Pelodiscus sinensis: one gene and its partner. The protein of the gene in region 2 purifies or fractionates together with the protein of the main gene of each other region. This does not show direct contact. Links are inferred from orthologs where the notes say so. Each region holds a gene or a part of one and is shown on either strand. Other genes may lie near its edges.

Evidence for each region.
Region 1: the proteins of ARRDC1 (region 2) and HECW2 purify together in Homo sapiens (affinity purification with mass spectrometry; 3 studies listed by BioGRID and IntAct, counting the BioPlex papers as one, with this or other methods). This does not show direct contact. The link is inferred for Pelodiscus sinensis from reciprocal best matches to the Homo sapiens genes ARRDC1 and HECW2.

The regions. Positions count from the first base shown.
Region 1 is NC_134717.1:71,009,534-71,024,875, reverse strand, and holds the start of HECW2 (E3 ubiquitin-protein ligase HECW2), read left to right. Parts: upstream 1-5,555; 5' UTR 5,556-6,211; intron 6,212-8,651; coding exon of another isoform or gene 8,652-8,771; intron 8,772-9,863; coding exon of another isoform or gene 9,864-9,950; intron 9,951-10,256; coding exon of another isoform or gene 10,257-10,418; intron 10,419-10,503; coding exon of another isoform or gene 10,504-10,572; intron 10,573-11,329; coding exon of another isoform or gene 11,330-11,524; intron 11,525-12,225; coding exon of another isoform or gene 12,226-12,352; intron 12,353-13,206; coding exon of another isoform or gene 13,207-13,376; intron 13,377-15,342. Other genes in the region: CCDC150 (coiled-coil domain-containing protein 150), read right to left, coding at 5,303-5,419, 8,652-8,771, 9,864-9,950, 10,257-10,418, 10,504-10,572, 11,330-11,524, 12,226-12,352, 13,207-13,376. UniProt on the Homo sapiens protein: E3 ubiquitin-protein ligase that mediates ubiquitination of TP73. Acts to stabilize TP73 and enhance activation of transcription by TP73. Involved in the regulation of mitotic metaphase/anaphase transition.
Region 2 is NC_134732.1:3,456,450-3,472,286, forward strand, and holds the start of ARRDC1 (arrestin domain-containing protein 1), read left to right. Parts: upstream 1-9,133; 5' UTR 9,134-9,252; coding exon 9,253-9,370; intron 9,371-15,837. UniProt on the Homo sapiens protein: Functions as an adapter recruiting ubiquitin-protein ligases to their specific substrates. Through an ubiquitination-dependent mechanism plays for instance a role in the incorporation of SLC11A2 into extracellular vesicles.

The DNA of each region.
Region 1 (15,342 bases), on a different chromosome or scaffold from region 2:
CTGAACTCTCATACCCTCAGGATCACCTTGTGTACCAGAGGAAATGGGGGTAATATGTAAAGCACTGGAACGGCATTCCACAGTGCCCCATGGAGAAGCAGACCCAGGGACTCCTTTCTGTTCTGGTGAGTCTCAAAGAGGTCCAGTTGGGGAAATCCCCACCTGTGGAAGATGTGGAGGGCAACGTCCACCCTGAGGGACCACTCGTGGCTCGCAAAGGACATGCTGAACTGGTCCATGAGGGTGTTCTGGGTCCTGGAAAAGGAGGAGGCTATTGTTTAAATACTCTCTCTGAAACTGATCCCAGAACCAAAGGGCTTCAAAATACAAGGGAGGAGAACGAACACTACCCTGATTGTTTTTGTAGAAAAATGCTGTCGTATTGGTGGAAGAGAAGAGACTTGCCCCTGAGGAGGGGGAGGAACAGCTGACCTGTGAGATGGGCTGTTCATAACTCCCGGATGTTTGTGTGTAGGGAGAGTTCCTCCTGGGACCACTTACCTTGCATCCTCATGTCCCCAATATGGGCTCTCCATGTAGTGTCGGGTGCATCTGTTGCTAGCTTGACTGATGGCAGTGCTGGGAAAATGGGATTCCCGTGCAGACCGCTTCCTCCTGGAGCCACCAGTCCAAGGAGCATAGGATGCTGGGAGGAACAGTCACCACCCTGTACCATGGGTGGGAGGACAGGATGTACACCCAAGCCAGCCACAGCTATAATGGTAATGGGCTCAGGGTTGGGGCATGTGGAGGGTGCAGGAGTGTTATGATGCTGTGGAAAGATGGGGGCTGGGCCCCAATTGGGGCCTTGTTGGCCAGACTTCATTTTTAAATAAAGTAAAATATTATAGTCAACATGAAAGGTATCAACATTGTCTTTATTTATGGCAGGAGTGGGGAACAATTCTGGGTTAGGGGCCGCTGACCCACAGAAAAATCCATCAGGGACCCCAAAAGTAAAAAAAACCCTCCAGAAACCCCCAACTCTCACTGATGTAGCTCCCTACTGAAACACTTCACACTCCTGGTGCTCCATAGTGGGGGGAGGGGCAGGAAAGACTTAAGTTCAAGGCCTCAAGCTAGATTTTCTTTTCTGGGGTTCCAGGGTTAGTAGATTTTCTGGGCCCCAATAGGCTCTGGGGTGGGGCCAAGAATGAGGGGTTAAGTGTGTGGGACAGGGCTGCCAGTCAATGGGATAGGGATGGGAGTGCAGGATCTGGGCAGGAGGAGAGGGGTAAGGGGGCGAGGTCTGGTCGGGGCAGACTACTTGGGTAGGGAGCAGGAGTGGGTTGGGATCAGGCGGCCTGGCTAAGGGGGATTCTGGCCAGGGAACTGGGGGCAGAGGTGTTTGGCTGGCGGGGTGGGGGGCAGCGAGTGAGGATGCTGGGGTCTGGGCATAGGGCACTTACTTGTGTTCGTGCTGCATGGGAGGTACCATGTAACACGGCCTCCCCGTTCCCATTCCCTAGAAGCCCGCAGTAAGTATTTGCAGGGGAAGCTTCCAGAGAAGTGTTTCCTAGGGGACAGAAAAGGGCAGTGCACATGGAGCCATTTTTCTCTGTTTCCTGCATGCTGAGGGAGGGAAAAGAGCAGTGCACCCAGACACGTTTTGCTCCACTTGTTCCCTGCATGCCAGATCCAATGGGAAGGATCAGGGCTTTTTTCCCCCCTGCAGGAAGCCAGCACTGGCATTCCAGTCTTGCTGGGGCCAAAGGCTGTAGCAGCAGTGCTGGCTCCCTACAATGGGGGGAGCTGTGGAGTGGGGCTAAGCTGGGGCTCCAGAAGAGCCCTAGTGAGCCATATTTGACTTCCAAGCCATAGGTTGCCAACTCCTGCTATAGACTGTGCCAAGTGTCTCACCGCACTCAGTCCTAAACACCTCGGCTGTGTCTACACTGGCACCCTTTCCGGAAAAGGGATGCTAATGAGACACTTCGGAATTGCAAATTCCACGGGGGATTTAAACATCCCCCGCGGCATTTGCATGAACATGGCTGCCGCTTTTTTCCGGCTCGGGGTTTTGCTGGAGAAAAGCGCCAGTCTAGACGGGATCTTGCGGAAAATAAGCCCTTTTCCGGAAGATCCCTTATTCCTACTTTCAAGTAGGGCTTATTTTCCGCAAGATCCCGTCTAGACTGGCGCTTTTCTCTGGCAAAACCCCGAGCTGGAAAAAAGAGGCAGCCATGTTCATGCAAATGCCGCGGGGGATATTTAAATCCCCCGTAGAATTTGCAATTCTGAATTGTCTCATTAGCATCCCTTTTCCGGAAAGGGTGCCAATGTAGACACAGCCTTCAAGTCAAGTGCTTATTGTGTTCTTGTTTAAAAGAAATAATAGGCTGCATACACTACAGAGCAGAATGACAAGTTGCAAATACTGTAAAAATTAAAGCAGATTTAATAACTATTTAAATACAAAATCAGCATATTAGATATCTCTACAAAGCAATCACACACACACACACACACACACACACACACTCTCTCTCTCTCTCTCTCTCTCTCTCTCTCTCTCTCTACTCTACTGGCTTATATCTGTGATAATCTGGCCTGCGGAAAGGACTTGCCCCTGCCCACTAATCAGTAAAAGAATGGCTCACTGGTAAGCAACACCTCCTACTAAAGGAAACTGGATGTAGCAGTCTCCCTGGCTGCTGGACGGTACCTCATAGCATCTCTTTCCAGCTAAAGGGAAGTGTGTTTTCTGGTATTAAGAGTTATCCATACAGTTCACTAGATCAGACTGGTGCAGTGGGAGGTAAAGCAGTCAGTGCCACTCTAACTTAGTTTGGGCTTCCAAACTAGTCCTTGGGCTACAGTTAGCAGAGATACACTCACTACTTATGCTGACCTGAGAGGACTAAGAGAGGCGAACAGGGCTGTGGAACAAAATCCCATACATAGGCTCATTTTAACCTGTCATTAAGTGAGGTGAGATGCAGAAACTCAGCTTACCACTGTTAGGTTGGGAAGAGGAACAAGGTATTGAAAACTTAGGAATTTCAGCAACATAATAGGATAAGGCCACTGAAGTTAATTAAAGATACCTATCCGCTTTATTAGGTTTCCAAATCAAGTTCTTTATCACTAAGGGATTTTCACTGACATCAATGGCAAAATGCTGAGTAACAGCACTAGTGGCAGGAGCAGGCCCTGGCAGCTGTCATACAATCCTAAGGACAGTATAAATTAAAATGGATGAGATGATTATTTGCTAAGCTCCAGCAATATGCTTGGCCCTGTACACATCACAGAGGAAGGCATAGCCTCTGACTCACAGAGTTTCAAACTAGCCCCACAGAAACAAATGGATCAGAGAACTGGAGGAAGCCTAGCAAACAGCTCTTCAATTATTAAATTTAAAAAACTAGGGCTGTGTCTACATTGGCACCCTTTTCGGAAAAGGGATGCTAATGAGAAGTCGGAATTGCAAATGCCGAGGGGGATTTAAATATCCACCGCAGCATTTGCATGAACATGGCTGCCGCTTTTTTCCGGCTCGGGGCTTTGCCGGAGAAAAGCGCCAGTCTAGACGGGATCTTGCGGAAAATAAAGCCTTTTCTGAAAGATCCTTTATTCCTCTTAAAATCAGGAATAAGGGATCTTCTGGAAAAGGCTTTAATTTCCGAAAGATCCCATCTAGACTGACGCTTTTCTCCGGCAAAGCCCCGAGCCAGAATAAAGCGGCAGCCATGTTCATGCAAATGCTGCGGTGGATATTTAAATCCCCTGCGGCATTTGCAATTCCGAAGTGTCCCATTAGCATCCCTTTTCTGGAAAAGGGTGCCAATGTAGACACAGCCTAGGTGTATAACAGCACATCTGATGTAGCTGGGTTACAGTATAAGGGTCTTAAGGGAATCTGAGTTACTCTTAAGTGTGCATTAATTGAACAGTGCATGAAAATTGTTTGCTTCCATATAATAAGATGAATAGTTAAAGTCTTAACACTGCAAGTACTGGGCTGTGTCTACACTGGCATGAATTTCCGGAAATGCTTAAAATACTATTCCCTTTTCAGTTTTTCCGGAAAAGGAGCGTCTACATTTCGTGATCGGGGCTTTTTTCCGGCAAAGACTACTGGGCTGTCTACACTGGCCCTTTTCCGGAACAGTGTTCCGGAATAAGGACTTATGCCCGAGCAGGAGCAGAATAGTTTTTCCGGAATAGCAGCTGATTTTGTACAGTAGAGCATCGTTGCTTTTCCAGAAATTCAAGGGCCAGTGTAGACAGCTCGCAGCTTATTCCGGAAAAGCGGCTGATTTTCCGGAATAAGTGGCCCAGTGTAGACACAGTCCTGGTGTATAGCACCTGTTTTGACCACCTCCTGGCCCTTTAGGCTACTTGTTCCAAGGTGCAGCAGAATTAAATCTATTAAATCGCAGACTACCAATAGTGCAAGGTGTTCTAGCTGGCAGCCTGTCACACCCATACGAAGCTGTTTCCAGCAACAGAGCCTTAAGCAAAGCCAGGGCTCCTGCAACTTCCACAGAGCATTGTCCTCCTATGATTCACAGGTCTGTGACTCCTTTTATTGCTACTAACGGTAGCTGTTCCCATGAGCTAAAAAGGGTTCCTCAATGTACTGGTCAGACAACCATCAGTATCCAACAGTAGACAATTGTCCTGTTTCAGTAAGTTTACCATTGCTAGTCTACAAATCCAGCACACCAACCTGGATAAGCAGAACCGCAGCACTGCAATCCTAGCTCTCAATAATAATGAATCCTGCTCACTTTACAGGGTCATTCTAACCAGCTACCCACCTATGAGCTGCTAAAACACAAATGAAAGATGTGACTGGAGACAAAAATCTAGCACATAAATGGGACTTGTACAAGAAGCTTTAGAGAGGAATAATTTCTTTGCTATAAACTATGTTTTTGCTAATCTTGGTTCCATGATGAAACATTTAAAGAAACTAGTCAGATTCAGAGACCATGCTAGGATGGGGGAAATGGAAATCTGCATTACAAAATGATACATGCTAACAAATGTCAGACAGGTGAGACTTGTTAGCTAAGGTGAACTGGAGTACATAAAACCTGTCTGCACTGATCTCCCATCAGCCAGCCAGAAAATGTTAATTTTATTTGGAGGGTCTTCCTCTTTGATACAGAGTAGATCCAGTACATATAGGATCTCAGCTTATACCCACTCAGAAATCTTCTGAAATATGCAGATACCTATAGATCAAGATGCTTCAATCTTAGTTTTTCCAGCATGTGAAGATCTGATCTGAACTGTGGCACTCACAGGTGCAGGGTGGTATGGCACTTAGAATCTCCTGGGTTACATGACATCACTTCCTGTCTAGCTCAGCCTGGTACTTCCTGGAGATGAATTTGAGCTGCTGTTTTGTCTCCCAGCGATTCACAGAGGCTTGGGTAGGGAGTTTCACAGTCTTTTCCTTTTCCATCTGTTAGAGGACAGGGTACTGGATGAAAGCTGATCCCTGTTTCTCTCACCAGCAGAAAATACAGAGATTGCAGCAGCTCAAGATACCATCTTTACAGCCAAATCAGATAGATAATGTGAAAGTAGAAAGAATTATACTGTAAGAGAAAGATGAATTATGCTGTAATAATTGAATAAGTTGAAGGAATACTGTTTGTCTCTGAACAGGAAGAAGAAAAGTATGTTAATGTTTGTTGTTTGTAGGTATGCAGATCAGAGTGCTAGCCAGAGTTAATAGGAAAAGGAACATTAGGTGTTAGGGAGAAAGCAATTGAGATAACCAAGGAGATATGGACAGGAGATTGCTGTGTGTTTGATGTGGAAATGAAGATACTTGACTAGCCTCACACTAATTATGTGAAGTTTTGCCCCTCTTTTTAATCCTGTTAATTTTGGCTTTCTTTTGACTGTATAAATCAAGGGGTTTGAACCTTGTATGGCACTCGCATTTTCTGGGTGCATTTAGCAGAGCGGCTTTGCTAATAAACAGAGCGCTCTGACAAATCTGTGAGTCCTGTCTGACTTTGACAATTTGGAGGTTCCACCGAGATGGCAACCGTCTTCGCTGAGGCTGTGTGATCTCTGACTGTCTTGCAGGATGACCGTGGCAGCCGGCACCTGGGCATTTGGCCCGAGCGGTCCTCTGCCAGAATGGAAAGGTGCACAACCACAGCGAAGTCTACGCCATCGAACCTGTTGGTTCCCGCTCTGTTCTGGTAGGGATCCAGGGATCTAACATCAGGACTCTGGTCAGGTAATTATTTCTATGTTTTGTCCGGACTGAGGACTGTCTTGTCTCTGTGTCTATCCGTCTTCCCTGTGGTGTGAGTGAGTCTGGGAGCCATCCCTGGCCGGGGACTGGCTGACCAAGGGGCTCCTGTCCCCGCGGTCTGTGTGACTGGAATCTGCACAATCGCAGCCGCACCGCACCTTGGATAAAATCCTTGGAGTGAACGCAAGGGCGATTGAGGCAGTAGCCTGTGGGCTTCTTTTGTGTGTTGCACTGGGCACCGCTCTGACGAACCCAAATCTCCTCCTTGTGTGATTGGTGTGTGAAGTCCTCCTGTATGGGTAACCAGACGTCTAAGCGGGGGCAGTTCCCTAAAGGGACCCCGGCTCAGTTTATATATTTTAGAAAGGGTCTGGACCCCTGTACATTTCTGGAAAAATGATCTAGATTGACTCTGGGGGATCCCAAAACTCAGTGGCTACTGTTAGGATCTTGGAACAAAGACCAAGTGGACGTCTTAAAAGACAAACTTGGCCTTCCCAAAACTAAATTGGCTAGAGGAGAGGTAGATTGCTTCATGCAGTGGTGGGACGAGGCAAATCTTAGATGGACTGAATCGAAGCTTGCCTCCCTAAAAAATTCTAATTGTAAGTAAAAAGCTTTATTGGAAACCTCCTCTCCCACCACCAGACCAAGTGCTTCCCTTTACCCCATCCTCCGAGAAGACTCAGACCGGTCCCACTTGGAGCTATAAACCCTGGACCCACACGGAGTTCCACTCAATTGTAAAAGGTTTTCCAAAGCCCCAGGAAAACCCTACCAAATTCGCAGAATCCTCTGAAGCAGACCTCCTGCAACTGTGTAAGCTACTTATAACCCCTAGCAAGCAAGCAAAAAAAAATGGCTCCTGATAGCAAATTGGCTCACCACTGAGCATCATTCTAATTTGCCAGACACTGGTCCTGACGCTGCCTACTGGAACAAATGTAAGAATCAAGGTAAGTGCCTGCATGAGGCCATTCCCCAAGTATGGACTCCAAAAACCAATTGGACGGCCATACATTGCCGTAAACAGCAACAGAGAGAAAACCCGGGCAACTATCACACAGACTGACTGATGGTTTTTTTTTCCTGCAACATTCTGGTATACAGCGACCGGGTGAAAATGGACAGGGCGCCCTGGCGCATGCGTTTGTTATTGGCCTCCTATCTGCTATTAGCAGTATGTTAAAGCAAATAAGTGTTGGACGGGAGGCCAAGACTATGGACAAATTGCAAGCAGTGGCAGAGCATTGCCACCAAACTCTAAGGCTGTGTCTAGACTACATGCCTCTGTCGGCAAAGACAGGCAAAGGCAAATGAAGCCGCGATTTAAATGATTGTGGCTTCATTTACATTTACATGGCTGCTGCGCTGAGCCGACAAACAGCTGATCAGCTGTTTGTCGGCTCACGCGCTAGTCTGGACGTTCCCCCTGCCGACATCAAAGCCTTTTGTCGGCAGCCCCGTTATGTATGGCACTCGCATTTTCTGGGTGCATTTAGCAGAGCGGCTTTGCTAATAAACAGAGCAGTTTGACAAATGTGTGAGTCCTGTCTTTGACAATAGCTATCTGGAATTTGCACAGCTTTAACAAAGGTTATGACATCTCCATACAAAGCAAAGTAAGGAGAACTGGCTGTACAGAATTGTGTGTCAGGAGGGGAATGGCAGCAGTCATGCAGAAGAGCAAGAGAGGAAGGCATGCAACAGCTACTAGTTTTCAATACAGGTGTTTTTTGGAGGTAGGGAGTTCACTCAGACTTGAAATATAGTTGAAAAGGAGCAGGATAAGGAAGTGGAGAGAAAGGGGCTCCCTTGTTCATCTTCTGTGCCCACCTGGCCCTAGTAGGTTAATTAAATGTCATTTGTCATATGCACATCATGTGAAACAGCACCAGGCAGTGAGAGAACAAAGGCTAATTAGTATTTTTCTGACCCAAAATGATGCTAGTTGGGCTGAGAAAGATGTGGGATGATGGGAACTGAAGAAAATAAACAGGGCTTCAGAAACCAAAGTTCTGATGGTCTCCTTTAACTTTTTAAAGAAGCGAGATAGAAAAGATGGGGAAAGTTTGGTCTGAGGCCTTCTCCTTTGAGGAGGGGAAGTTTTGTTTTGTAGTACACATGACTTCCAAATCTCACAATGGGGCAGAGTTTTCTTACAGTGCTTCAGAGATTGTTTCCTACCCATGTTCTATGCATCCAAACAGAACAAGTTTGGCTTTCTTCTAGTACTGCCACTCATCTCTGCACAGGAAACTTCTGTTACAGTGCCTTGCTATTACCTTGACTTCAGCAAGTACCAGCATAGTCTGCCCTGCAACATCACTGCCTGGCTGTACTAATATCTTTGTTCCTCACATACACAGGAAACTCTACTACAGGCTGTTTGTTCCCTGTTCTTCATCCTCTCATTAATTACCTCTTTGCCATAGTTCCCTTCACTGGGAATATTCTGCTGTTTGTTTTTCATTAGCTCTAGCTGCAGGCTGTCAAACTTAGATTTGAACCAGCGGTGAGCTTCCTCCAGGTTAGCAGTGATCTGAGGGAGAGAGTAGTGATTAGAGTCAGAAAGAGAACTGTGAGCATTTCAAACTTCTGGGCTCCACAGTGGACAGGCAGGATTCCAAATACAGGCTTCTTTTAAATCTCCCATGTCTATGTAAGTGTAGAGCAAATTACTTGAGCATCCTCGCCTCCTTCCTGCAACATCATAGAGGATGTGGAAAGGTCCACCCTGCAGTGCTGTCCCCCCTTAACTCACTAAGCCTCTCATTAGCACTAGCCCAAGAGAAGACAATTCTAACTGGAGGGAAAAGCATCAAGAACGTGGTAGAGGAAGAGTATAAAATGGAGGCTAACTACAGCAACCCACTGAAGAAACATGGGAGAGCATGGTCTTTGCTTGGTAATGTGCGGGTACCAGCCTCATTTAAAGAAAAAATATTGTAAAATTACCATTCCAACTATGTTAGCAATTTATTTCAAGAACTCTTATTAAGTATAATCCTATAATACTCTTGCTGCTACCAAGAGTAGAGTTTGAATTGAAAGGTCCTTTGCTACTTACTCCCTTACCTATATTGCACACCTCCCTTGTAAAATAACTACAGTACTCTACAATTTGGAACCAAATCACTGTAGTAACACTCCTGAAAGGTACTGTGCTTTGGACTATTACTGTGCAATACTGTCAGCTTTCAATAAGCAAAGAGGTGCATAGGTGAAATATGAATCACCTTGTAAGAGAAGCTGTTTAATGTCATTCAAAATGGTACAACACAACAGCTCACATACTGCTTAATGGTGATGACAGTGCAGGTTGACATAAGCCATTGAACCAGGTGGAAACTAATAAAAAGAACTTCTTCTTACTGGCCCAACTCAACTATGATCATTTGTGTACCAGGCTATTAAGAGCTCTAATAGAAGAGACTGGAAAAACATCAGTCAATTGCCATGAGGAGAAATAAACTGTTTTTTGGGTCATGCACTGAGGGCCCCTAAGTGTTAAGAGCAGGCCTTTGATGAGGTGGAAAGTAAAGTACAGTCACAGATCTTGTCATCCTAAAGGAAGGATAATTCTAGCTTTGTACCAGATGATAGATATCTTCTTTCCCACCATTGTACTCACCTGTTCTGATTCTACACTGGCTTCTTTCAGTTTCTGCTCAGTTTCCTCTTTGCATTTCTTCAAGTGTTTGACTGTATCTTCTAGCTTCTGGAGAGAGAAAAGTAACAACCCCATGCAGGCAACAACACAAACCACTTCTGTATAACAAAATGAGCAGGAATATAGACTGGAAACTTCAGTAGAATAACTCCCAGCCCAATAGGTGAAATATTACAATGTTCTAATAAGCAGCTATATAAGGCCCCTTGGAATAGGAAATCACGAGCACCCTCCATCAGCAATAGGACCCTACAGATGTGGCCGGGCAACATGTTCAGAGGCAATACATATTCCTCTCCCCTGGACTGGATCATTCAGCACAGATCATGCTGTATGTCCAAGGCTGGATTTTACCTGACACTGGTTCTCTAGTTGCTGCCGCACTTTCTGCTCCATTTCCAGCTGCGTCTCCAGCTGCCTGTTCTGTGTCGCCACTTCATGCTGATTTTTGGCCAAGGTCTGCATATCACTCTGAAGACTTGTTAACTCGGTCATGAATTTCTGGATGCTTAGTGCCTAGAGATGGCATAAAAATGAGATCTCAGTGACTTCATGCAGATTCTACTTTTACAGAGAGGGGAAGTTGTATAGTGGGCCCTACCTGCTCATAGTTTTTCTTCTGATACTGCTCCTTGATCAGCTCCATTTGCTTCAGCTCAGATTCAATCTCCTGAAAATAATTTTAAATTAAATCAGGAGGCTCCAGTGAAATAGCATCATGTGACAGAGCTTGAGCTGCTCCAAACCGCATCCTCACTATGTGACCGAGTAACATACACTCTGCTGGGATCAAGCAGGCAACAGTGACACTGAGCCCACCACAGAGAATCTTCATTAAGGCAGGGAGAGAGAGGCCCAAGCGCCCGGCATCAATGTACCCTGGAAGCTCAGCGCTTGAGTGGCCACCCAGGACAGATTCAAATACTGCCCAACTGATTGGCAGAGCGCCCACAGCATGTATTTCTACTGGGGAAGATCCACATCCGCACATGCAGCAGTGCACATAAAATTTATTCCGCATATGAACGGAAAAAATTAGAGGGAACCCATGGTACCCATGGGTTTTCTACTGGCTGGAAATAATTTGTTTATATGATGACATAAAGGCAGCCAGAAAATGCTGGCCCTTCCCTTCAGAATCATCCACTGGCAAAAATATGCCTTACCCAATCCAGTGAACTGGGAAACAAATGGCTGCCATGAAGTGATCCACTGAGCTGTAGAATGACTCCATAGGAAAACCAATATGTAATGTAGAAGGAAAAGAAACAGGCCAAGCTTTTACTGACAAATTCAGACTCCTATTGACACCATGGTGTATCCTGTATCCTGGCCCTATTGCACAGGTCCAGCAGTAGCACTTCCAATTCTGGGAAGAGATTGTGTAAGAACAGGGTTATTCAGAGTGAAGAAGTATCTGCACAAACCTTTATCTTCTGTGTGTTCTGGATGTTGTTAGCCTTGGAGGTCATGTATTGTCTGATTTGAGACATTTGGCTCTTTAGCTTCCCCTTGTAATTGACCAATGACTTTTCCAATTCCATTACTTTCTGCCGCAGCTCCCTATTAGCTCGGGACACTTCAGCAGACTTGGAAGAAGCCTCTTCAAGGGCTTTCTTTAGCTAGGAGGCATGCAGAAGAGGTTAGTTCATGTTCACTCCAAAAAATGTCTAGCTAGGGTAATCAATGACATGTATTTCTTATGAACATCATGAGGAAGAGTGCCCAGTTCCCTATTTAGAAGGTGATGAGGTAGATGGTAAGTTGGATCTTTCAGTTATTCAGAGGGAATGAAAGACTGCACAGCTTAACCTCTTGTGTTTCTGAATACTTCTTTGGTCAGAGGACACAATTATAGAAAGAATACAGCTCACGACAGACCAAAGAAGCAGAGACTGCTGTTATCCTGCCACTTCTCTCCCATATGTCATTTTTTTATCACAAGGATTTTGTACTCTTTGGAGGCTGTAATCAAACATCGTATAACCTTCATACTACATAGTCTTTTGGTCCTTCCTGGAAACCATATTCTAATTAATCTTTGGTTGTATTCCCCTCTAGATCCTATGGAATAAGTAAGGTTTTCACACAAAAAGGGGGGGGGGACAGACATGATAAATCCATCACTAACTATGCTACGCCACCAGAACATCACGTCGTCCACTGCAGGCCAAAACTCTCTGTGTTGCTCTCAAATGATACTGCAGCACAAAAGGGAAACAAGCAGTATCATGGATCACTCTTGTTTTCTTATTATTGGGAAGTAGAGCTCTTCTCAGGAAACTGGCCAAAGAAGGAATCTTGCAATTCTGCTCCATCTCACCTCAGCAGATTCCCTGTAATTTGCTTTCCTTGTAGCCTCTCGCTCAGTCTGAAACTGCTTCTTCAGGGCCTCCAAGCGTTCAGTATACACCTTTTCTTCCATCTTGGCTTCTTCAATAAGCTGCTCCCTTTATGGAAAGAAGAAAGAGACTCTCAAGGAAATAAACCATACGGAGTGAATTAGTAAACAATACAAGTGGAAAAACCTGGCCACCAAAAAAAAAAAATTAAAAAAAATGGGGGGGGGGGGAGGAAGCAGGAAAAAGTGATGGTTCTGCTTGGGTGGATTCATTTGGCCACATTATGTTTGTCAAGAGCCTGCGACTTTTAAAACATTTCAGTCTGTTCATTCAATTGCAGGTTCAGCCACAATCCGTTCCTCAACAGCAGCTCCAAACAGCAATTCAAGATAGATTCTCCCTGCATGAGAGAAGCTGTCCTAGCATGTGGCTACTCTAAGCCAGCCAGCAGAGTTCACCCAGGAGAATGAGGCAGACTGCTCCAACTCAAAGCCTTTCTCATTGCTAAGGAAACCATGAAGGATTTCCATCGGCAAGCAGCCTGCGGTTTCCAGGAGGCAGACTTCTTCCCTGCTTCCATTCCCTGATGGCAGTAAAGGGCCAAGAGCCATATTGCAAGTCTGTCAGTGATAAGTGCTGCCAGCTATGCAGGCATGTCACTCACTCAAACAGCAGCATAGTGCTCCTCTGGACTGTTCAACACACACAGCCCAGAGGAAAGACTAGGTTCTATTTGCAGCCTTCTAACACTGCAGAGGAGCCTGGAGAAGTCACAACATCAGAAGGCAACCAGCTCATTCATGTGGCTTTGCACTATCAATCCACCAAGCTACTGGCTCAACACCCATGCCATGAAGATTGTTTCGGCAGCCGACAAACGGATGGAAAGGACCACAAGCTCTGCAGTTAGAAATGGAAAAGCAAAGTGTTCCTCAGCCACAGCACCTTGCACTTGTTCTTACCTGCAGGCCATCAATTGCTGATGCTCAATTTCTTTTCTGTCCAGTTCTTCCCGAGTATGTATCAGCTTGCTCTGCAGGGTACTATTGGCCTGCAGAGCTTGTTCCAAACTCAAAGCAAGTTTCTTGTTATCCGCTCTAGCGACATCTAGTGCTTTACAAAGTGGATCCACCTCAGGGGTAAAGAGAGAGAAAGAGAGAGAGAAATCTTATTTATATTTTAGGCATGTTGGAAGGGCATAACAAATGGGTTTTTCAGGGGTCTGTTTTGGGACTGGTTCTGTTCAATATCTTCATCAGGGATTTAGATGATGGCATAGAGAGTACACTTATTAAGTTTCCAGATGATACCAAGCTGGGAGGGATTGCAAGTGCTTCTAGGGTAGGGTCATAATTCAAAATGATCTGGACAAATGGGAGAAATGGTCAGAGGTAAACAGGATGAAGTTTAATAAGAACAAATGCAAAGTACTCCACTTAGGAAGGAACAATCAGTTTCACACATACAGAATGGGAAGTGACTGTCTAGGAAGAAGTACTGCAGAAAGGCATCTAGGGGTCATAGCAGACCACAAGCTAAATACAAGTCAATAGTGTGATACTGCTGCAAAAAAAGCAAACATGATTCTGGGATGCATTAACAGGAGTGTTGTGAGCAAGAGATGAGAAGTCATTCTTCCAGTCTACTGTGCACTGATTAGGCCTCAGTTGGAGTACTATGTCCATTTGTGGGTGACACATTTCAAGAAAGATGTGGAGAAATTGGAGAAGGTTCAGAGAAAAGCAACAAAAATGATTAAAGGTCTAGAGTACATGACCTACAAGGGAAGACTGAAAGAACTGAGCTTTTTTGGTTTAGAAAAGAAAAGACCGAGAGGGGACACTATAGTAGTTTTCAAGTATCCAAAAGGGTTATACGAGGAGGAGGAAGAAAAATTGTCCTCCTTGGCCTCTGATGATAAGACAAGAAGCAATGGACTTAAATTGCAGCAAGAGAGGTTTAGGTTGGACATTAGAAAAAACTTCCTAACTGTGAGGGTGATTAAACATTGGAATAAATTGCCCAGGGAGATTGTGGAATCTCCAACATTGGAGATATTTAAGAGCAGGTTGGATAGACATCTATCAGGGATGATCTACACCATGCTTGATCCTGCTGTGAGGGTAGGGGACTGGATCTGATGATCTCCCAAGGTTCCTTCCAGTTCTAGTATTCTACGATTCTAGTTAGTTGAATGAAAAGAACTTGTATAAACATCCCTTCCCTCACCACCTCTCCAGTAAGAACACAAGGGATCTCCCCCAGTCAGCATCAGTTTGCTGGACTGGAACTCTGGCCAACAGCTGCCCACAATTGGTAGTTAGTAAGCAGAGACTGCAAACACACTATTTGTATTTGCTAGAGAGAAATCCTCAGAGTGTGTTTCAGAAAACCAAGATTCACACACTGCTTTGCATCTAGGCTCCACAAGACATCAAGCTTTCTTCCAAAATGAAGGCTCCCCATGGTAGGCATAAGCTTTGGCCTGCTCTGCCTACATTACAGACAAAAGTATCTTTAAGTATTAAAACAAAACAGGTTTTAAACACAGTGATCTCTCCTGGTATAGACATTGGCCAAGAGATGCCTCCAGCAAAAAAAGAAGACTAGACTAAATATTTCTAAGATTAAAAGCAAGCAGCAATGTCCTCCTGCTCCCACTAAAAAGAGAAGTAAAAAAGAGAATAACATGAAGAAGAAAATAAGATACAGGTTCTATAAACCAGAACTCTTTGGTCCAGCAACATCTCCTGGATGTTCCAGGATCAGAGTCCTGGCTCACTGCGAGAGGTATGTGTGGCTACATCTAGACTGCAGCACTTTTCCGGGATACCACAGGTATCAGATTGCTTAAAGATTGCTTATCCAAGCAATGGGACAACTTTTCTGAAAAAAATTTCGGAAAAGCGGATGTGCCCTTTTTCCATCCCTGTAAACCTCATTCTACGAGGCATAAGGGATGTGTCTAAAGAGGTTTTTCTGAAATTTGGCGCTATGTAGATGCAACAAATTTCAGAAAAGCCTCTTTCGAAAGAAGATTGGAAAAAGATACATAATTTGCATACTGCAAATTGTGTATCTTTTTCTGATTTAACTCT
Region 2 (15,837 bases):
AGGAAAGTCTTCCTTGGGCAAAAACTGGTAAAAACCCACCAGTCCTATTTTGAACTTGTCCCTAAGGAGGTCATTTGCTTGCAACTCAATGACTTCCAGCTGCAGTTCATCTGGGCAACTGGCCACATCTGCTTCAAATGGGTTTTGAAACAATCTCACTTCTTCTGCCTTTGAATCCAAAAAGGTCTCCACGGGCCGGATGAGAGGGCCTCGCGGGCCGCATCCGGCCCCCGGGCCGTAGTTTGGAGACCCCTGGTCTAGAGCATCCTTCTTTCAGGGGGAAAGGCTGACCTGAGGTGGGCAGAGTTTTTCTCCCGCCTTGCGGGCTGTTTTTGTAAGTTTCGGGAAGTAGTTAAATCTCGGCGGGTAGGGAGGAGGAAAGCCAATTTACTTTTAACTTAACTTGGTTTTGGTTAATTCGGAGCCAGTGGTGCAAGTCTCGCTTACCCTGGGGGGGCTGCCGTCCCAGCTGAACCACTTGTGTGAGTAGGGGATCCTCTCAAGTTCACCCCTCAAAATAGGCTGGAAGCAGCGGGGAGCGTTTCACCCCACGGTGAGTCAAGGACACACAGTCGGGCAGATTGCATCAAATCCTGAGCCAGGTTCTGATACCTGGCTCGTACACCTTGCTGCACAGCTGGTCCCAGAGAAGTTGATGGGATGATTTTTGGATAGGGGCCTTGGCTTCCTGGTGTGTGCGTCTACGCTGGAAATTGGGGTGATGTGCTCATGCTGGTTTTGAGCCCGTTAGCACGCTGGGAATGGCAGCCATGGTTGCACAGATGGTGGGAAGGGCTAGTGGATCTGGGTATGTATGGGTCATATTCAGGGAGGCTAGCCCAGCCCACCGCTCACACCCCCATGGTGCTGCTTGTAGCAGAGGGGAAAAGGGTGTGTTCTTGGCTCCGTTTGGCTCACCCAAGCTGGGACGTGAGACAAGACAAGGCAGTGGGTCGAGTTGAACCCCAGGCTCGTCTCTGACACGGTCTGCTCAGGGCTGGCCTTACCATGAGGTGAACTGAGGTGGCCGCCTCAGGTGCCAGACTGGGGGAGGCACCACTAGTTCACACTTTTTGAACAAGGCATTTTAAGTTGTTAGTTCTCCTTTATTGGGATATCAGGGGGTAGCCGAGTTAGTCGGTTACAGAAAAAAACCAGCAAGCAAATGGTCTGGTAGCACTTTATAGACAAACAAAACATGTAGAACAGGAAGGAGGCAGAACTGAGACCTTTCAAAGTTTTGGCCCAAGCGAGGGGACATGGGGGCATCATTTGAGCTCCTCACCTCAGGTGCCAAAATGTTGTGGGCTGGCCCTGAGTCTGCTGGCTTGTGCTAGAACTGCTGCTGCTTAGGGTTGCCAGGTGTCCAGTTTTCTACCAGACAGTTCGGTATTTGCACCGTCTGTCCAGTAGGAAAATTCAGAAAATACCGGACACGTGCAATGTGTGGTATTTTCTGAATTCCCGTCTGGATGCTGGATGGAAGCCTGGCAGGGGCGGGGGAGAAACTGGGAGGCAGGGCCACGATTGGCTCTAGGAGCCTATGGTTGCGTGCAAAAGCCGGGCAGGGCGGGGGCCAGGACTCCCAGCCACTCCCCCCGCCCGGATTCTATGCACAACCAGAGGCTCCCAGCGCCAATCGCGGCCCCGCCTCCCCGCTGGGAACCTCTGGTTGTGTGCAGAAGCTGGGCGGGGGCAGAGGCTCCCAGCACCTCCCCCTCCCCCTCCTCCTGTCTAGCCCCCGGACCCCCCCCGCCAGCTCTGCCTCCCACCCCCCATCCCCCCTTCCTCCTGTCTAGCCCCCGGACCCTCCCCGCCAGCTCTGCCTCCCACCCCCCATCCCCCCTTCCTCCTGTCTAGCCCCCGGACCCCCCCCCCCACCAGCTCTGCTTCCCACCCCCCCATTCCCCGCTTCCTCCCGTCTAGCCCCGCAGCCCCCGGACCTCCCCCCGCCAGCTCTGCTTCCCGCCCCACCCCCTCCCGGCTGGTTCTGCCCCCCCCCCCCCCCGCCCACGACCAAGTGCATCCAGTATTTTGGTGGGGTCTACCTGGCAACCCTAGCTGCCTTGCCTTTGCTAGAATTTGAACTGGGGCTGGCTAACGTGTGTTAAGGACACGACTTTGTCGGCAGTGAAGACAAGGCCTAAGAGACGATTCACTGGGATCATGGTCTCAGAGTCTGCTCCTCCATTGTAATTCAGCCCTCACAGACGATGCCCTGCTCACTTCAGTGACAGCTTCTCAGGTGGAGCGAGGCCTGCTCTTTGCTGGGCTCGTAGAAGACCACTGAGAAACTAACGCCCACTCGGCCCGGGGCTGAGGCTCTACAGTGGGAGGGAAGAGAGATTCCCACCTAGCCATTGGCCCACTCTTTGTGTTTTAATGCCTACGTCACAACGAGACGCTTCCCTTCAGAGAGGGAAGCAGAAATCTGGCCTGTTCTCACAGCACCCCCTGAGGGTACGTCTACACTGCAAGCTTATTTAGGAAAAAGCTATTCCGGAAGATATCTTCCAGAATAGCTTATTTCGAAATAGAGCGTCCACACTGCAGGGAAGCCTCAAAATTAGCCCGAGGCCGGCTCCCCTAATGCGGACGCTCTATTTGGATAGAGCCCCAGGAGACACGAGGGAGGAATAACTTTAGAATGGCCCCAGGGAGGGGCTATTTTGACATAGCAGCGAGGCGTCCCCACCCCTCCTTCCAAAAAAGCTTTTTCAGAAGAGGCCTCACTCCTCACAGAATGGGGTTGACCAGCGTTGGAAAAAGCCCCCCCGTTATTTCGATTTTCTTTTGAAATAACGCAATTGCAGTGTGGACGCTAGTATTGTTTTTCCGGAATAACGGCCGTTATTCCAGAAAACCGGTGCAGTGTGGATGCACCCTGAGGTGAGCAAGTGCTGCCTGAGTAAGGCAGCAAGGGGCAAGCTAGGCCAGTGAGTGGGCCGCAGGAGTAGCCCTCCTTCACCTCAGCGGGCTACAAGGTTGTGGTAAAAACCTGAGTCCTGTGAGCTGGGGTTGCCAAATTTCTAAGGGCCCAAAACCAAAGACCTTTGTTCCGCCCCCTTGCGCCATTCCCCCTCCCTTCTCCGTCCCTCCCTTTCTGCAATCTGGCTTTGGGGGTTGGGGGAGGGAAGGGGTGAGGGCTGCAGCTAGGGGTGCAGGCTGTGGGGAGGGCAGGGGCTGGGAATGAGGAACTGGGATAAGGGAGGGGGCTCTGAACTGAGGCTCAGGGGTTCGGAGTGTGGGTGAGGGTGTGGGCCCTGGGAGGGAGTTTGGGTGCGGGAGGGAGTTTGGGTCCAGGAGGGGCTCCGGGCTGGGGCCGAGAGGTTCAGGGTGCAGAGAGGGACTGAGATAGGGGTCTGGGGTACGGGGTGTGTGCAGTGTCTGGGCAGCGCTTACCTAAGATGGCACCCAGGAAACGGCCTACAGGTCCATGCGGGGAGCGATGGAAGCGCCACGTGCCCATAGGCACAGCTCCTCCTGCAACTCCATTGGCTGGAGTTCCCGGACATTGCCAGTTGCAGAACTGGTGCTTGGGGTAGCGGTAGAGTGTGGAGCCCCCCTGAACATCTGCACCTAGGAGCTGCAGGGATCTGGGAGCCATGCAGACCCACTTTGAGGTCCCAACCCACAGCTTAGGAGGAGGGATAGCTCAGTGGTTTGAGCATTGGCCTGCTAAGTCCATGGTTGTAAGTTCAATCTTTGAAGGGGCCATTTAGGGATCTGGGGCAAATCTATCAGGGAGGGTACTTGGTCCTGCCATGAGGGCAGGGGACTATACTTGATGACTTCTCCAGGTCCCTTCCAGCTCTATGAGGTGTGTGTATATATATATATATTTAGAGAGAGAGAGGTAACCATTGGACTGGATAATCTAATGGTCTTGTGTGGCTTTAAACTCTATGACTAGCATCCTGCTTGGTGGCTAGGATTCCCCTAGGGGCAATGGCAACACAGAGAATCAAAAATAATACACCGATGGTTCAAGGGTTAACAGCAACTTACTGGGAAAAAATGTAGGTGTCACAGAGAATACCTCACTGCAGACCTCAGCTTGGTTGTGTTGTGTTTTTGGGCCGTAGGCCATGCTGGGTGCTATCATACATAAATAAAAGCAATCTGGCGCGGTGGTCAAAACATCAGCTAAGAAAACTAAGAAACTTCAGCGCTGAGAAGACCAAGGACGGTGAGGGAAGTGTTAGAATCCATTAGTGGTGCGATTTCACCTGGAATACTCTGGCATTTGCCACTTCATCTACAAACAGCAGCAACAGAAGTAGGAAAGATCCAGACAGGCCCAAGTCCTTAGCTGGCTGTTAGTACCTGTGAGGGAGCCTAAATGCTGTAATCAAGTCGCCTCTTGATCTTCTTTCTGATATAAATCCAAGGGCCCAATTCAGCCCATCTCTAAGCTTTAGCTATCTTGGCTTTGTCTCTACTAGCATTTTTCTCTCCCCCCCCATGACTATAGCTGACGTGCCTGACTTATGATGTTATGGGAGTTCCGGTTCTCTGCACTGCTTTCTCTGCAGTGTTTATACATTGCCTAGGAACGATAAGTGACCAAGGAATGATGTCCAGTGCTCATCAGTATATGAAATCCACAGAGCGTGCCAAAGCTCCCCCATCACATCTCTAGATCCACACATCATCTGGAAATGGCCCTGTGATTTGCAATTGCACTACAAAGAAAGAGCACCTGGATGGGCTCACATAACTGGCCTATGTGTATGTACTTGTCAGGCATGACGGAGTTATTTAGGGACATTTTTACAGCGTTTCTCACTGAGGTCGCTGGTTGCCTCACAAATTCAGCCTCACAGCCTCCCTTGGTAAGGTACAACACTCCTCCGCTTGTAGGTGGAGAAACTGAAGCGCAGAGAAGTGACTGACACAACTGGCCCAAGTCACACAGGAAGAGATGACTAAGGAATGGCACTTAGATCTGATTCAGAAGAAAACTCCTGAGCTTTAGCTATTACACCTTCCCCCTAGCTCCTATACCTGGCATAGCTCAGATCCCTAAAGGCGTGGGGATCTTGGGGGTGCAGGAGTGAGGAGGGACTCTGGGCAGTGGACTGGGTGTGTGGAGAGGAGAGGACCAAAGTCCCCACCCCCTGTCAAGATTTGTACCAGGTCTGCTTGCTCTTCCCCGTCCTGGCCCTGTCAGGAAGTTAGAGCAAAGTACACAGCTTGTCTGCCCCCTGCACTCCCAGCTGGAGTGAGGACTGTGGACTTTCCCCTTGCTCCCTAATGTAGGGGAACAGCCAGCAATGTCCCTGTATGAATCTGGGGGAGAGCTTCAGCCCCCACCTCTCCGAAAGGGCATTTGGGGGTGGAAGGCTCAGAGCTGGGGCAGTCCTATATTGGAGGGGGGTTGCATCCCCAGCCAGCCCCTTTCACGTACTTGGTGATTGTACCTCTTTTCTGTTTGGTTTTCTGAGAAGCAATCCCATTCCAGGCACATCCCACTTTTCTGGCACAACCAAACCCTTACGTTGCTGTAAGTTTGGTAAGAGGAAACTGTATACCAAATTTGGTGGTCCTAGCTCTTATAGTGTAAGAGGATTTCTTGAACAAACAGACAAACACTCTGGGGTAGATAGTAGATATACTAATAATATTTCACACTTATGACTCATCTTTGCACGTGTACATTGGTTTCCTCATCTTATAAGTACAGCTACTCTTTGCTCCCCAGGTAGAAGAAGGTGTGCTTGGGACCAAAAATTGTAAACAGATGTGGTTATTTGTTTTTTTAATCTGGGATTCTGACAAATTACATTTCTCCAGGAAAAATTTCATATTCCTTGGCATGTTTAGTTTTTCAATTAACTTTCCAAATAAAAACTTTGTTTTAGAATTCTTCCTCATATTTTTTTACATTTCTCTTTTTTTCCAGTGGGAAAAAAGCGGGGAGGGAGATGTTTTTAAAAAGAAGAGAAAGTGGGATTTAGACATACACAATCGCATGAAAACATTTCAGAACAATTTTAAAAAACATAATTTTCTGTAGACATTTTTGCCCCCAAAATGAGTAAAAATTCAAATTAAACAGAAAATATGTAATTAAAAACAGTGAACAAAACATCCTTTTGTTCACCAGCTCACTCTGAAAATATTATTCCTCATGCTTCTTTATGTGCTGTTAGATAAGCATTGAGCTTTCAGGGCATTCATGTAGCTGCAGATAAGCAGAGCAGATTTAGATTAAATCTCAAGGGAAAACTTCCTAACTGTAAGACCAGTAGGACAATGGAACAGAGGCCTCACTGGAAGTTTTGAAAGAGGAAACTGGATAGACCACTGTTTTGGGTGGTTTAGACTCATCAAGCCTGTGTCTTGGCACTAGGGGTACGTCTAAATTACATGGCTCCATTGATGGAGCCATGTAGATTTGTTTGTTCGGCAAAGGGAAATGAAGCCACGATTTAAATAATCATGGCTTCATTTAAATTTAAATGGCTGCCCCGCTCTGCCGATCAACTGTTTGTCGGCAGATCGGGGCAGTCTGGACGCTCCCCTGCCGACATGAAAGCCCTTTATCGACCTCCCCGGTAAACCTCATCCTACGAGGCATAACGAGGAGGTCGATAAAGGGCTTTCAGGTCGGTGTGGGAGCATCCAGACTAGCACGCTGAGCCAACAAACAGCTGATCAGCTGTTTGTCGGCTCAGAGTGGCAGCCATTTAAATTTAAATGAAGACGCGATTATTTAAATCGCAGCTTCATTTCCCTTTGCCGATCAGCCTAATCTACATGGCTCCATCGAGGGAGCCATGTAGTTTAGACACACCCTGGATGACTTAGTCCCTTCTACTATGGGCGGTGGGTGAGCGTAAGGTTGGGGGAAGCAAGCTCCCAGCTTCACCCCTTCTGCCCAAAGCCTCCCTGGAATGTGTCCCCAGCCTCCCTGGCCCCGGAGCTGCCCCAGCATCCGCAGTCTCAGCATGGCTGAAGCCCGTGGGCAGCAACACTCCACCCCCAGAATGCCTACTGCTTCAGCATGGCTCCACGTTGGCATTCTGGTGGCCCAGTGTGGGTGAGGCCAAGCCTGGTAGTGTGGGAAGGCAACATCTTCCCATGCCTCTTATACCTGCCGGCCCTGCCATCTCGCCCAATCATTCTATGCTTACTGACTTCCAAGAGTCCTGGTGAAGCTTCATGATTAGCCTTGCTAAAATGCCTTGGATGAAAGCCACTGGGGCTGGGATCCTTAATGGGACAGAGCCCTTTCTCTACTACTAGTGGGACTGTGCCAATGCTACTGCAATGGCAGGCGACTACGCAATGTGCCAGAAGAGCCAAGACTTCCATCCGCAGTGTGAATCCCGCCAGGTTGGTGATAATCAACCCAGCTAGTAGCTGCTAAGTGGGGTTTCAAGGCAATTTGTACTGGGGAGCTGCTCTCATCACAGGAAACCACCAGCATGACTCACAGTTCTTGCCTCCCTCCCATCACAGAGAGACCCAGGACAACAAAATAAAGGCTCATAGCGACTTGGAGCCAGGTAAAAGTCTGAGTTGAGGTTTTGAGCAGCCGGGGGAAGCTTGTACTGCGGCTACCTGTGCTGTACCTGTTCGGTGGATGAACAGAGTTTATTTATTCTTCCAGTGTCCACAATCTGCCAGCAAACACAGCAGGGATGGTGCCACAGGACAGGCAGGGAGGGAGGGAGCATACTTGGGGTATCCTATGCTCCCTCCCTCGGACTGGGGACAGAGCATACTTACAACCTGGCTCCTGCCCACCAGGGGGTGAAGCAGAAGGGTAGACACCTGCAGGGGAGGAACCAGCACCAAAGGAGAGAGGCAGGGCAAGTTTGTAGAGGGAGGTGTTAGGAGAGAGGATGAGGCGGGGTAGCTCACGTGATCAGAGTGGGGCTACTGGAGGAGTGGGCACAAGGGGGAGAGAAGGGCTGGTGGAGGGGGGCAGGTTGCAGGAGCGCTGAGGGCAGTGAGAAGGGCAGTGCCACTGTGGCCCCCAAGTTATTAATAAATATTTTTAAACCTTAACCTTTTCTCTCTGCTGCCATGTCTCCTCCCCTTGTTCCATCAGCTCCCCTGGTGCCTGCTACTTCCCACCCCAACTCCTCACCCTCCTCTGCTGTCATCCAAACAAGCCACATGAACTCAGTACTGGTGCACAACACAAAATTCATTCTGCTCATGGGAGGAAACTCTTAGGCTATTTCTACACTGGCGGCTTCTTGCACAAGAACATCTTGCGTAAGGGTTCTAGTGCAAGATCTCTTGTGCAAGCACGTCTACAGTGCCATGTGCGAGCTGTGCCATTTTAGCCATAGGGGTTTCTTGCGCAAGAAATCCCTGCCAAGCATCCACACTGCCCTCTTGCGCAAGAGAGCTTACACTTGTTAGAAAAGAGCATAGCTCTTGCGCAAGACGCCCTCTCTTACCACGCCGTACTGTAAATTTCCTTGCGCAAGAGCAGGCAGGCAGTGTGGCTGCTCTGTGGGTTCTTGCACAAGAACAGCTGTACTTGTGCAAGAAGCCGCGAGCGTAGACAGAGCCTTAGAGGGAACCCTTCCCCCAGCCTCTCTGCCCCGAGTTAATGTCACACACATTGGGTTAATGCAACTGCAGGATAGTTGCATGCGGGCGGTTTGGTGGGGGCCAATCTAATCCCTGTTGGTAGGCGGATGGTGGGAAAAGCTCTTGGAGAGGAGTGACATGACATCTTTTACTTCTGGTCATGTGTCCATCTTGCCCCCTCTGTGTTACCGCCAGAGGCATGGCTAAAAGGGGGGGGGTCAGAGGCGTGGCTAAGGGGGTGTAAGGGGGCGTGGCTAACAGGGCACGGGGGCGTGGCTAATGGGGCACCACCAAAAATTATACAAGCCCATGCATGGCAGGACCTGGGGCATTTGGCTCAGTGCCTTTGCCCCTAGCCACTGGGGCAGTTGGTTTGGTGCTTGGAAACTGGCTTGGTTCCCGGCTGGGTCCCGATCTCAGCCTGCCGGGCTGGGGTCCCTCCTCCTCCGGCCGCAGCGCGGGGATGGGGGGCGCGGTGGGAGGGACCCCGCGTCTGGGGCCACAGCTGCTAGACCCCCCCCCCCCCCCGCGTACCGCCCCGGGGCAGGGCTGGGCGGGGCGGCGCTGGCTCTTTAAGGGGCTGGGCCGTGGCCGGCTGGCGCGTCACTCGCAGCAGGTAGGAGCCTCCCCCGAGCCAGCCAGCGAGCAGCCGCCGCCGCCCGAGCCCTGCGGGGAGCAGCCGCGGGAGGCCCGGCCATGGGGAAGGTGCAGCTCTTCGAGATCCGCCTGAGCGAGAGCCGGGTCGTCTACAGCCCCGGGGAGCCGCTGGCCGGCAGCGTCACCGTGCGCCTCTCCGGGAGCCTGCAGTACCGCGGTGAGCTTCCCCGCCGCAGTGCCGCCCCCCCCCGTATCCCCGGGCAGCGGGCCCCCTCTGCCCCGAACAGCGTGCTCCTAGGGCTGCGAGCTTCCCCGCCGCAGTGCCGCCCCCCCCCCCCTATCCCCGGGCGGCGGGACCCCTCTGCCCCGAACAGCGTGCTCCTAGGGCTGCGAGCTTCCCTGCCGCAGTGCCGCCCCCCCCCCCCCGTATCCCCGGGCAGCGGGCCCCCTCTGCCCCGAACAGCGTGCTCCTGGAGCTGCGAGCTTCCCCGCCGCAGTGCCGCCCCCCCCCGTATCCCCGGGCAGCGGGACCCCTCTGCCCCGAACAGCGTGCTCCTGGAGCTGCGAGCTTCCCTGCCGCAGTGCCGTGCCTTTCTCCTCGCCCATTGCGTTTTTCCGGGTGCAGGACCCTAAGGCTGCGAGCTTGTCCGCCGCGGTACCTGCGCCCCTTACTTGGCCTCCCGGTACCGGAGCCTCACCGCTCGCAGGCTCCCCTGTTGCCCTCCGGGTCCATCCCTGCACTTAAAGGCTGAGCTCAGTGTGAACAGGTTGGGCCTCTGTAAACTGCTTCCCCTCCGCCCCCACGCCGCTTGACTAGAAGCTGCCTGCCTGGTGACTCGCAAGAGATGGATTTTCAGCGAAGTCTGCTGGGGGGGGGGGGGGGCAGTTTTGGAGGCATCCAGCCCATCCCCTCGCTGGTGGGGCTTTGTGTTGTTTCATCCCACCTCCTGTGGCTAGGACTTGGCCGCCCTCCTCCAGCCTCTCCTCCGTTCTCTTGCCTCCCTTTTCGTCTGGGGGTGGGGACGGAGGAGTTTCCCTTCTGCGTGTGGGGGGTTTTTTGTTTGGTTTTTTAAAAAATCTCTCACGGGCAGCACGAAGAGAACTTGCTCTAAGGGTAGGTGCGTGCTGGGACTCAGGATAGCTTTGGGGTGTTTAAGCATAGCCTGCGTTAGCAACAGTTTACTCACTGTCTGTCTCTCTCTGTTATTTCCCCTCCAGTTCATCTGAAGTGGGTTTTGCTGTTGATTCTGTATATTCTGCTTAGTCTCTAAGGTGCCAGGGGACCACATGTTGTTTCCCTGTGTATGTAATTTAATTTCTCTCCCACCTGGGTTTGGTGTGAGCTGTATCTGGACAAAGCAAAGGTGTGTGCGCATGCTCCCCTTTCAGACTTGGGCTGGAGAGCTGTTGCTAGGACCCTTCTCGATTTCAGGTGTTTCTGGCACGACTCTTAACAGCCTTTACTTGGGGGAAGGCACCTCGGATGCTGTAAACCAGGGGTGGGCAAAATGCAGGTCATGTCCAGCTTGCCAAGTCTTTGGATCCAGCCCGCCTGGACTCTCAGGCAGGCTGTCTGCCCGGTGCCTGTAGGCATGGCATCAGCTGGCCAATGGGAGCTGTGGTGAGCGTGCTGGGGGCAGGGGCCGCGCATTATGTCTCTCCTCCCCCATTCCCATATCCCCTCCTGGATCCTGCACCCCAAGTCACAACTCCCCCTCCTTCACCCAAACTTCCTTTCACACCCCACACTCTCTTCTGCTCCCCAGTCCCCTACCCTGGGCTCCCTTCTACACCCAACCTCTGGCCCAGACCTCACGCTCCCTCCATAGAAAAGTGCAGCTCCTTAATCACTTACCAAAATCTTGATGGAGAGCCACTCCAAGAATTCTTGCTCAGCCCTGCTATAAACCCTAAAACAGACATGTAGTGTTGACCCATCATCTAGCTGTGATCTTACTGGAGACGGACCTTGGCACAAGCAGTTAAGATCTGATTCTGAGCTTCCCCATAAAGTGTAGGGAATTCTTGGGGTTTGGAATGTAGGAAGTCCATGTACTCCAGTACTCCAGGGTCCATGTACTCCAGTACTGTCTCCAATATTGGCTGCAAAAAAATCCTACAGTACACTGAGAGAAACTGTCCTCTGCCCATTTCTCCCTCCTTCTCCTCCCCTCCTCCCACCACTAGACCTCTTCCTTTTAGCTAAGATCGGAAGCATGAAGTTTAATATCTGGGTGCTGGCTTGTTTCCAGTTTGTCCCAGCTTGTCGTAAGTCATAGCTAGCTGGGTTGGAGCACATGTTAATACTTGGTCCTAAGGTGGCATCTCTCTGTGTTTAGAGGCCAAACTATTGTGGAAAATACTTGAACTGTGACCAAGTGTTGAACCCTGTTGTCATTGTAGCATGTGTATGGCAGGAGAGGCTAGGTTGTATGGCTATTTGCTCTGATTTCTGTTGTGTGTTTTAATTGTGACTGATTTATGGGTTTGCTTTAAGAGGTTACTGCATCATCCGCATGGAAGATGCTCAGTCAGAACTGTTGGAAGTGTGTGTGTCTTGCTTTACAGCCAATAGTTCTGTTACAGCCCCATGTAAGGGAGTGGGGAAAGAGGCTGTGTATAGGGACCTTGCAGAGAATAGTCTCCTGCTCTCCCCCCCCCCCCCCAAAAAAAAACCCCAACCTAACTGCTTAGTCAAACATGAGATTAAAGAGATGACAAATTGAGTAGCTTAGAGACAAAGCCCATGGCTGGGTCCAGAGGATCCTCGCTCTTCCACTGCCCGTGCTGTTCAGTCTATGTGGCTTCCAAGTTGCAGTGGCCTCTGAAGACCTCTGTAGAAGCAGCTCCCTTGGTGAAGAGCTCATGCTCCAGTGTGCGGTGAAAGTCCCACTTCAGCATCTTCCCTTGGGACCAGTTGGGCTTTGACTAATAAACGAGAATCAGGCCTGTTGCTGTCTGGAGGCTCCTGATGTGTGACTTGGCCTCATTTCTCCCCTCTCCTTTCCCAGACAGCGGTGATGGGGGTAGGCAGCGTGGTGTTTGTGCTAGGCCCACTGGCTATAGTTGAGGAAGAGCCCTGAGTGCAGCTGCACCTCACTAATAAATTAACTACCACAAAACTCTTCTTAGAGTCAGTGAATCCTGTACTGTGTGTGCACTGGATTGCGGCCGATTGTAAGACTTTGACTTAGACTGGTCATTTTCAGAGAAGGATTCCAAACTCTAAGGCCCTGTCTATCCTGGGGGGACTCCTAAAACTTTTTTAAAAAGGAATTTAAACCCCTTCCTGTCATTAATGCTAAGTCAGCTGTGCTGATGTTAGCGACCTGCAGACACCATGGAATGGAACAGTTAGTGATGCAATGTTACCTCGGAGAACTTCCTTAGTATAAAACAGAGCTTCATCCTATAATCTATAGGCTAGAAGGAATGGTTAATTGGATGGGGGTTGGAATATGTGAGCTTGGTTCTTAACTCTGCTACAGGCTTCCTGTGTGACTCTTGTCAGTACCTGTTTCTCCTCTTTGTGAAGTATTAGCATCTCTCCCCCCCCCCCCCTTCATTGTTTGTTTGCAAAGAGCTTTGATCGCCCGCATGATACAGAAATGCAAATTATTCTTTCTTGCTTTTTCCCTTAAGTCTGAGTCTCTTTTCCTCTCCCCCCCCCCCCCCTCTCCCCCTTCCTATTCTCCTGGCTGCTGTCTTTGAATCTTGGGACTGTTTCCAAGTATTTAGATTCTTAGTCCTTCTGGTCAGGGGCCTTGTTCTGTGACCTTGTCTAGAAAACAGAGTTGCTGTAGACTTGAAGCAAGTATGCCTGTCTCATTTTAAAACTCCTCTCCCATTGGACCTTGGTGTTTTTCTTTTTTTCTTTTTCTGGCTTCTGAAAAAGCTATTGTACAGAAATAGTTAGAGGCTCGGTGATGATGTGTTTACATCCACTCTCATTAGGAAATGCTACTTTCAGCATGAGACTTCTAATGCAGTAGCCACTAGGGATGTTAAAATGCATTTCTTTGTGTAAATGTGTATCGCTGACATTTTTCAGCAGATAAGTTTACATGTGAGGTGGGGGCAGCAAAGCCAGCTCCCTTCCTCCCCCTGCTCCATATCGCTTCTGTAATAGAGCTGGGAGGTGGAAGAGGAAGTGCAGAGGGATTTTTGCAGAAGCTGGTTCCCTGCATGTATCGGCTCCCACCTTCCCCCTGCACTTCTGCCTCTGACACAAAGGTGCTATGGGGAAGTGGAGGGAGAGGAGGATTGTGTGTAACCGAGAGGGTTATTGGTTAACCCTGTTCTCAGCTACATGGTCACATCCCCAATAACCTCTGACTGCTCCCCCCTTCTCCCCCATCTTCTCTCTTCCTGAGAACCTACTCCCGCAAACAGGGCAGAGCCGTAGCATCAGGGTTCTGTCGAACTAGTCCAACGAGCCCTGATGCATTATTGGCCAACTGAGGTAACCATGGTTACCCCAGGCTACTGACTCTACTGTCGGCACGTGGAGCCGCCATTAGCAACGAGACTTTCTGCAGAAGTTTTCTCCCTTTGCCTTCCGTCAGGGTTTCCTTTGCCCCATAGAACAGAGCTCAAAGGTTCTATGACCCCTTGTTTGGAAAAAGTGCCCCCCAGCCCCCAGTTGTACTGTTTTTTTTTTTTTAAGGCCTTGAGCATGGGCGGTGGGTGAAGGCACCTCTGGGGGAGGCAAGCCCATAGCCCCTCCTCCAGCCCCACCCCTTCTTCTGAGGCCATGCCCCTTCCCTGCCCCCATGGGGAGCCAGGACAGCACGCTGTGTACGTGCTCCCCTCCCAGTCACAGGAGAGCAGGGCAGGGCCGGCCTTAGGCTGATTCGCCTGATTTCCCCCGAATCGGGCCCCATGTCCTGAACCCAGAAGTGTGCCAGGCGCCAAGCGAGTTACTATTCAGAGCTGGGGCCCTGCTCCAGCAATATTTGGAGCTGGGTCTCTCCCCCGGCTCTGCCTGGAGCGAGCCCGGGCCCCCACCTGCCGGCCCCCCCACGCATGAACCCACCCCACCCCCAGAGCATCCCCCTGAACCCCGTCCCTGCCATGCGCGGCTCTCGGTGCGGCTCCCCTTTGCTGGCGGCAGCTGCTGCTGCCATGTGCAGTGTTCTCAGGTGGACGGGGGGGACGCCCGGGCATGATGTGACATTACGGCCCGGGAATTTAAAAGTGCTCGGCGTGGCGTGGCTTAGCAGCTCTGGGTTTGGAGTGCAGGGCCTGAGTGTAGAGTCCAGGGCCTGCAAAGTGGAAGGCAGAAGGTAGGGGAGAGGGAAAACTAGGGGGAGCGGGGGGGGGGGGAAAGAGGAAGGGACCAAGAGACAGGGTGGAGGAGAAACAAATGCCAGGGGGGCAAGTGCAGGGAAAAGGGCAGGAGGGGAGGTGTCAGTGGGAGGGGGGGGACGACAGGGTGATGCTGGAGAAGGGAAGGGCATTGGGGGCTGGAGAGGGAGTTGCTGGGAGAAGGCTTGAAAGAAGGAGTGGGCATGAGAGGTGGGGATGGAGCAAGTTGTGTATGAGAGCACAGAAGGGCAGGAGGAGAATGGGGGCAGAGAGTGGTGAGGGGGGTGGGCATCAGGGAAAAAGGGGGCAGGATAGTAAGGGAAGGGGGAGGCACCAGGAGGGTGCCAGGCTAAGAGAGAGTGCAGGTGCCAGGGAATTCTGGGGGTGAAGCAGAAGGGCAGACACCTGCAGGGGAGGGACCAGCACCAGAGGAAAGAGGCAGGGCAGGTGTGTGGAGGGAGGTGTTAGAAGAGGGGATGAGTAGGGGTAGCTCCCATGATTAGAGTGGGGCTACTGGAGGAGTGGGCACAGTGGGGAGAGAAGGGCTAGTGGAGGGGGGTAGGTCCAGGAGGGCTGAGGGCAGTGAGAAGGGCAGGAGTCAGGACAGCAGAGGAGGGTGAGGAGTTGAGGGGGCAGCAGGCACCAGGAGAGCTGATGGACCAAGGGGAGGAGACATGGCAGCAGAGAGAAAAGGTTAAGGTTTAAACATATTTATTAACTAGGGTGCCACAGTGGCATATTGAAACAAGCCACATGAACTCAGTACAGGTTCACAACACAAAATCCATTCTGCTCATGGGAGGAAACTTTTAGGCTATTTCTACACTGGCGGCTTCTTGTGAACAAGTCCACTCTGTCATGTGCAAGCTGTGCTTTTTCATAAGAACATCCATGGCAGTGTGGATGCTCTCGTGCCCAAGAAAGCTCCAATGGCCGTTTTAGCCATAGGGGTTTCTTGCGCAAGAAATCCCCGCCAAGCATCCACACTGCCCTCTTGCGCAAGAGAGCTTACACTTGTTAGAAAAGAGCATAGCTCTTGCACAAGACACCCTCTCTTGCCACGCCGTACTGTAAATTTCCTTGCACAAGAGCAGGCAGGCAGTGTGGTTGCTCTGTGGGTTCTTGCACAAGAATGGCTGTACTTGGGCAAAAAGCCGCGAGCGTAGACATAGCCTTAGAGGGAACACTTCCCCCAGCCTCTCTGCCCCGAGTTAATGTCACAGACATTCGGTTAATGCAATTGCAGGATAGTTGCATGAGGGGGAGTTGGTGGGGGCCAAACTAATCTCTGTTAGGAGGAGGATGGTGGGAAAAGTCCTTCGAGAGGGGTGACATGACATCTTTTACTTCTGGTCATGTGTCCATCTTGCCCTGAAC